Callithrix jacchus: one gene and its partner. The protein of the gene in region 1 binds, or shares a complex with, the protein of each later gene. Links are inferred from orthologs where the notes say so. Each region holds a gene or a part of one and is shown on either strand. Other genes may lie near its edges.

Evidence for each region.
Region 2: the proteins of EDAR (region 1) and EDA are in contact, whole or in part, in a crystal structure (PDB 7X9G), measured with the Homo sapiens proteins. The link is inferred for Callithrix jacchus from reciprocal best matches to the Homo sapiens genes EDAR and EDA. Residues at the interface, in NP_071731.1 of Homo sapiens: Glu55, Pro56, Tyr57, Leu58, Lys78, Ile86, Arg88, Arg89, His90, Asp92, Glu94, Gly95, Phe97, Val134; in NP_001390.1 of Homo sapiens: Gln256, Ser258, Ala259, Gln261, Asp265, Asp273, Arg289, Tyr310, Tyr311, Lys340, Thr341, Tyr343, Ser370.

What each region holds. Positions count from the first base shown.
Region 1 is NC_133515.1:20,220,784-20,224,283, forward strand, and holds part of EDAR (tumor necrosis factor receptor superfamily member EDAR), read left to right. Parts: intron 1-2,643; coding exon 2,644-2,966; 3' UTR 2,967-3,500. UniProt on the Homo sapiens protein: Receptor for EDA isoform A1, but not for EDA isoform A2. Mediates the activation of NF-kappa-B and JNK. May promote caspase-independent cell death.
Region 2 is NC_133524.1:66,882,667-66,886,835, reverse strand, and holds the start of EDA (ectodysplasin-A), read right to left. Parts: upstream 2,801-4,169; 5' UTR 2,614-2,800; coding exon 2,224-2,613; intron 1-2,223. UniProt on the Homo sapiens protein: Cytokine which is involved in epithelial-mesenchymal signaling during morphogenesis of ectodermal organs. Functions as a ligand activating the DEATH-domain containing receptors EDAR and EDA2R. May also play a role in cell adhesion.

The sequences.
Region 1 (3,500 bases):
AAGCGATTCTCCTGCCTCAGCCTTCTGAGTAGCTGGGATTACAGGTGTGCACCACCACGCTGAGCTGTTTTTTGTGTTTTTAGTACAGACAGCGTGTCATCATGTTGGCCAGGCTGGTCCCATACTCCAGACCTCAGGTGATCCACCCATCTCAGCCTCCCAAAGTGCTAGGATTACAGGCACAAGCCACCATGCCTGGCCTTACTGGTGTTATCATTTTGCCAATTCGAATGAAGTATAAAAACCTTACCTTTCTTTATGTCCCTTTATCTTCCCTGTTTATAGTAGTTGTAAATATTTCCTCTATACATATTTATAACCATATAAATTGCTTCAACTACCTAACATAATTCAGAAAACTTAAAAAGAGGAGGAAAGTCTATTGTATTTGCCCATAGTTTTGCTCACTATGTTCTTTCCTGATGATTCAAGTTTCATTCTTTTATTTCCTTTCTGTTTATAGAATTTCCTTTTGCTTCTTTTCGGGTAGGTCTGCTGGTGATAAATTCTTAATTTTTCTTTGACTTGAATGTCTTGATATTCTCATGCATTCCTGAAGAATATTTTCACTCAGCTCACTGCAAGCTGGTCTGCAACGCTGGATTGAAAGTTCTTTTCTTTCAGCACTTGTAAATACCATACTACTCCTCTCTGGCCTCCAGATTTCTGATTATATATCTATTGTCATTCTAATTGTTTTCCCTCTCTAGGTCAGACATTGTTTTCTTTGGCTGTTTCTAAGACTGCCTTTTGTTTTTAGAAGTTCATTTGTGATGTATTTTGATGTGAATATATTTGGGTTTACCCTGTTTGGGATTTGCTTAGCTTCTTGAATCTGTAGACTTATTTCTCTTGATAAATTTGGGGAATTCTAAGACATCATTTCTTTGAGTACTTATTTAGCCCCATTCTCTTCTTCTCTCCTTCTAACACTTCATGACGCAAATGTTAGCTCTTTTGTTATTACCCCACAGTTCCCTAAGGCTCTGTGTTTTTCAGTTTATTTTCTGAGACTGAGTAATTTCAACTTCTAATTTTCATTATCCATCTCACTGATTCTTTCCCCTGTCTTTATTTTGCCATTGAGCACATCTACTGAGCTTTTTATTGTGATTATTGTATTTTTTTAGTTAATATTTTCATTTCTTTCTTACGCTTTCTATATTTTTGGTGAGGATTTCTGTTTTTGCAGTTGTTTTAAGTGTGTTGATAATTGCTTGTTAAAGCACTTTTATTATGGCTTCTTTAAAACCGTTTTCAGATCATCTAACATCTGTCATCTCAGTGTTAGTATCTATTGATTTGCTTTTTTCACTCATTTGACATCTTCCTGGTTCTTGGTATGATGAGTGCATTCACTTTGAAACCGGTGCAGTTTCATGTCCTGATATAAAACTCTGGGTCTTACTTAAGCCTTTTATTTTAGCTGGCTCCTTTCGATAGCTGTGTGGCAGGAGAATGAGGGTGCTGTCTTGCTATTGTCTGGTGAAGGTAGATGTCCAAATTCCCCACTCACTCTTCACTGACATGCAATGCGGGCTCCTTTTTACTGCTATTTGAGATTTGGGAGTATGGCTCCCGACATGGTCACCACAGGAACAGGGGAGTTGTTACCAGCTGGTTGATGAGAAATTCCCAGTTCCCTATATGGCCTTTCCTGACACCACTTGGCACAGTGTTACAGCCTGGTGAGGGTGGAAGTCTAGGCTCCCCACTCAGCCTTTGCTACCCTGGATGGAATAGGGACAGTTTTTTCTGTGGTGTTTGGCTAGAATAGAGCAATTATTGTCTAAATGTTTCATGCTTGCTAGGCTGCTCTTTTCCTAGTGTTCTAACTAGAGAGAGAACACTTCTGTTGGGGCTGTTTTTGTCTGTGCTTGCTATTATTTCTGGATTTCTGGACTTTTCTGCCCCATGTCTGGAATATATGAGGCAAAAGAAAACCTAGGGAACTTACCACCATCCCATCCATATCGAGGTCCCTAGTTGGTCTGTCTTCTCTCCACTTTTCAGAGCCTTCTTGGGTTTGTTTTATTCAGAATGGGAGGATAAGGGAAAATTCTATCTACTCTTATCTTCCAGAAGCAGCAATATCAACTTTTTAAATGCTCCTAGGTGAGTCTAATGTACAGTGAAGCCTGAGAACCATCAGACCACTGAGTTGACAGTGACTTGGTTCAGATAACCCAAATCTCGGGCTATCACTGAGAGCACCCACCATAAAGTTGACTACTGTTCCCTAAAGAGACATGATACCATCCCTTTGACCCCTTCCTCAGCCCAGCCCCATAGGAGACAGGGTTACCCAACTAAGGATAACTTGTCTTGAAGTCTTTGAGAACTGCTAAAAATGGTCATGAGGGGATTACTATCATAGTCAATACAGCAGTCATTTTCCTAGTGGGGAAGTGGCTACTACTGGGGTTAGGGTACATGCACAGCCTTCTCTTGGGGCTGGCACTGTTCTAGGTGTTGTTTGCCTTAAGTTATGCATTTGTTTTAGGTGGCTTTCTGCATGTGTTTTGTTTTACAATTTTAAAAATTTTCCAAATAATTTTTATTTCATTTAAATAATTTTTCATGGTGTTGACCTTCTATTGACTGTGACTTGCAACATCTAACTGTGGCCATTGGTGTCTGTAGGTCTCAGCCCCACAGAGCTGCCATTTGATTGCCTCGAGAAGACTAGCCGAATGCTCAGCTCCACGTACAACTCTGAGAAGGCTGTTGTGAAAACGTGGCGCCACCTCGCTGAGAGCTTCGGCCTGAAGAGGGATGAGATTGGGGGCATGACAGACGGCATGCAGCTCTTTGACCGCATCAGCACAGCAGGTTATAGCATCCCTGAGCTGCTCACAAAACTGGTACAGATTGAGCGGCTGGATGCTGTGGAGTCCTTGTGTGCAGACATACTGGAGTGGGTGGGGGTTGTGCCCCCTGCCTCCCAGCCACATGCTGCATCCTGAAAAGCATGCTTGTGGGCTGTCCTGCCAGGGCAAGCCAAGGATCTAACGAGGGCTCTGGAGCTGTGAGTGGTGCCAAAAACTTCGAAGAATCAAGGGTTTTGTGATATGTCATCCTATGCCTTAGGATGTTCAAGGAGGCAGACAAAATGAGGCCTGTCTTTTAATCTAACCAAAGATAAAAGACTAGATCTGGAATACTTTCAGATGCTTGCCTGTACTTCACGAGGCAGAGTCAATATCCACTCACTCATTGCACAGTGAGACAATGTTGAGAATTCAAATGAACCAAACCACGTGGGAATGACAGAAGTGAAGAATCTGGCCCCTGTTTTTAAGGAGTTTGCACTCCAGTAGAAGACAGAAGGAACATATGTTTACAAACCACTTCACTGGAAGACATCAAACAAGCTGAATGAAGGGGTGCTTGGAAAACGTAATAGAAGTTTTCAGGGGGAGATGACTCCCTACTGGGACGATGAAGGATGGCATCCGAGTGAAGAAGCAGCTCAAACATTTTGGTAAAATAGCTACAAA
Region 2 (4,169 bases), on another chromosome or scaffold:
AATATACAAGATAAGATAAACTTCAGTTGAATAATTTAAAATAAACTTAAGTTGAATTTGGGCTAAAATTCCTTCAAAGTATACTCCAAATCTGAAAGTGAAGTTCAGGAAGAATAAGGAATACATGGTTAAACTTAGTATGGTCAAAATACAGGTAGAGTAGAACAAAATGATGCAGATCTGAGCCCTCTACTTTGTAAAAGTTCTAATATGGAGCTCCATCTTGCTCCCTCAAAAAAGGTCCCAGGAGGTAGTTGGGGGAATGGGCACTGAAATGGGAATTAAGAGAGTAACTTTCATCCCAGTTTTGACTCTAGTTATGTGACCTTGGGCAAGTCACTTTCCCTTTAGGGCCTATGTTTCCCAAGGGAATCAAATGAAATGAACTCGTATAAGCCCTTAATAACTCTAGGAAACGGATTCCAATTGATGTCAACAAATGTAAAGAGCTAGTATCCTTGCTTCTATTGCTCAAAAATATTAAAACAGAAAGAATAAAGGACAGAAGATAGGAAGCTGTGTTTAAACCTAGACAGAACTATTTTAGTGCCATACAAAGGGCAGGTAACTAAATGCCATTACAGACCTGGAAGAGTTTTATGCCATTACAGAAGCCCTAGAGTACAGCTGTTCTGCTAATCCTCAGTCTGTAAACATGGCTCTGTCCATTGGGAATGCCAAAAAGTCTTGGCCACCATTTGACTGAAGAAGTTTAATTCTTTCATCTTTTCACAGAATATCAATGTTCAGCTGCTAAATATTTCTACTGGGCATTGGGGTGTAGGGGAGTGGCAGTAGATAAATAAAGGAGTCAGAATCCTAGTTAATTATCGTTTAGTTACAGTGTTTAAAGTTTCAAGTATGAGAAGCATGTCTGCTGATTCTCTTCTTCGATAAGCTGTTATATAAATTGAAGTGTGCTAGCAAGACATTTTAAGGCTCAGGGCAACTTTACAATGCACATAGTTGGTTTTTTGTTTGTTTGTTTGTTTTAAGAATCAGTCCTAACATTACACTATTATCCTGAATGTGATGCCTTTATCAAGTGTACTACTTTAGATGGGAGGTCAAAGTGGTAGAAATAATGTTTACAGAGTTGTGACAATGACTCTGGATGTGGCAGTAAATACAGAAGGCTTGGGTCCCTCACCTCAAGGAACTTATTTGTACAACTTGCTCTCTTCCCTAAGAGGTACAATTTTACTATTATTCTTTAGCCACCTCAAAAGGATCATTAGATGCTTCTCCTAAGTTTCACATATGGCAACCAAGACAATATTTACGTTAAGTGCACTAAATTTACTTGAATAAAGAGCTAGAAAGAGTAGAAAACAAACACCAAAGTTAATAGTTTGGTAATAAGGGCACAAACACCATAAAGATTGCAAAAATAAACAAAACAAAACAAAAAAACCCCAAAGTGCTCTTGGGGTACTAGTCCTGAGTAATTATTCCATTTGCAGATTCCCGGTCTCAAGCTAGCAGTAAAAGCACTTCCCACCCACCCTTCCCACTGCACACCTACCCTGCTTAGAATCAGAACCAGCATGCAAAGGGTGAGTTTTACTTCCATAGATTTTTTAAATTGCTGTTCAGAAGTTGTCTAGCAAGACGGCATATTTCTACCAGAATTCCTCAGGGGCGCTGATCCTCACCAGAACGCCGAGGACAATCAGTCTCAAATTGCAGGTAAGTGTGAACAAGTCCACGTTCTGGTCAGCACACAAGGACCCGCGATGAAAATGCGGTTAAAAGTTGTTTCAACGGGCAGGCGTGGAGCAGTTACTACAGCTGTTTACAGCTCTAACTCCAAAGCGGAGCCTGCTGGTTCTGGCATCAGCTCTGGACACGAAAAAACAAGCACCGCGGGCAGAGAACCTCATCAGGAGCAGAAGAGCCAAGCCGTTAGTCGGCCGGGGGGCAGCACAGGCACCTCCTCGACGGGAGCGTCGCCAACTTTTCCCGAGGCAGCCCGCAGCCAGGGGCGGCGGGCACGCGCTAGGCTTTCCAACTCAAGGGGTCCTCAGGGAGTCTGGATTAGCTGGGCCAGGGACCGAAGACAACCTGCCTTGGGCAACCTCTCCACTGCTCGCCTGGCCCCTCGCTGGTCCTGCCCTCTAAATTGGGTCGAGGTGGCAGAGTGCTCCCAGGCCCCTTTGGTGGAGGGCCCTCGCCCTACCCGCGAGGGGAGGGGGCCGTCGCCACCCCTACTAGGTTACTCACCTGGTGCCCGTCCTGGGAGTCAGAGGGGAGTGCGGCTTCTCCCGGTTCCAAAGGCGGCTGCTGCTGAGGTGACGGCTGCCCAAGGTGACGGGTGATGGGGCTGTCAGGGTCGAGGCCACCGGGGCTGTTTAGGGTGCCAGAGGTGCCCGGGCCGCCAAGGCGGGATAGGGCTCCCCGTTCCCGCCGCAACTCCGAGCGCAACTCTAGGTAGCAGCACAACGTCAGCAGGTGGAGGGCCAGCGAGAGGCCAAAGAAACCCAGGAAGAGCCGGCAGCTGTTCCCTTCGCCCGCCCGAGCAGGGGCCCCGCGACAGCCGCAGCTCTGGCTCTCCCGCTCCCGCGGCGCTGTCGCGGGCAGGGGTTCCCTGCGCTCCATCTCCGGGGAGCCCATGGCCTCCAGAGACACCCACTTTTTTGAGGCCCGGGAGCCGCTGCGTCTACCTCAGCCGTTCACGACCTCTGACAGGCGGCTACTGCCCTGCCATCGGCTGGGGGCTGCAGGGACCCGTTCCTGCGCGACGGTGGCTGGGCGGGACGGAGCAGGGAGCAGCCGCATGTGCAGCTCCACTCCGAGGGGTGGGAAAGGGAGGAGGAGGGGCGGGAGAGAGGGGAGGCTCGGCCCGCCGAGGGAATGAAGGAGGAGGTCCCGGCCGACACCGCCCCATCCCTCAAGCGGCTGCCGGGACGTCCAACCAAGGGGCCGCCCTGCCTCGGCGCCCCGCCCCGTACCGTTCCAGCCGGGCCTCCAGCCTCGGGGGGTGGGGGGGGGGTGGGGGGAGCCTTGGGGCGTGAGAGTTCGCCTCGGCCTGGCCGCCCCACCCAGCTCTTCCCCCTTGCCTTGTCCTAGTTGGTGACTGACGCTGTCCTTCATTCCTAGACTCCGCCCCAGTTTAACCCTTTAGCGCCAGTTCTGGGAGGAAAGGAGGGGGAGGCTAAGAATTTGGGAACCTTGGAAAGAAAGTAGAGCAAAGAAAAGGAGGCAGAAACTAGCATTAATAGAAATGTTTGCAATTAACTGCAGTTGTTAATAACATCATCCAGTACTTATCTGTTGCTTCCAATCTTCAAAGCGTTTAACAGACGTTAAACTAATTAAAACAGCTCTTGGTTTGGAATGAAACCATGCCTGCTGTGTTTGCAATTCAATGGCTCGCCCGAAGAAAAGGAGACCTAGGAGCCTGGGAACTATGGGAATGGGTGGGACTCAAGCAGCCTCACTCCTGGAGTGACTTCTCTGAAAGCTCAATCTAAGTGACAGAGAAGCTGACTCATGCCAAGTGGAACTGAAATGATGTTGTCCCATGAAGGGTAAAACTGTCCTAGGATTTCTTGATATATTAATTAACTCAACAAATATCTATTGATCCCTGTACAATGCAGAAAATGCTGTATGAGAGCATCCACAGCCAGAATAGATTTCTTCCACTGCAGTAGTTTTGATTAGAGAACATATACCTTCAGCGAGTAGATAGGAAACTGAGGGTCAGAATGAGGTGGATTTTTACAAGGGAGGTCCATAGAATAGCCAGACACCATTGGCATCTTTATTTACAGGCAACTGTTCCGGCCTCTCCACCCCTCCCATCCTTCTCCTGGAGTACTCCCTGGGGGAAGTTCAACAAGTCAGCCAAATGTTCCAGATGTACACTGCTGTAACTGCAGCATCTTCAACAGCTGCACCAATCACAAACGGGTTCAGAGAAAAAAAAGTGGCAAAGAGCAGAACAATAGACCCTGAAATGAAGGATGGAAAGGATTAGTTAAATCAAGAGTCACAATTGACAAGAGTAACTAGTCTGAGATAATAAAAAGCAAAATGACTGTAGAAGGGGAAACATATATGCTTTGTAGTCACTATGCACTCTCATTCTCATGTTATTAATTGAGTAATGAATAATTAACAATTTTATTGACTTGCAGCAGGCATCTGGAGTGTCATCAAGGAGG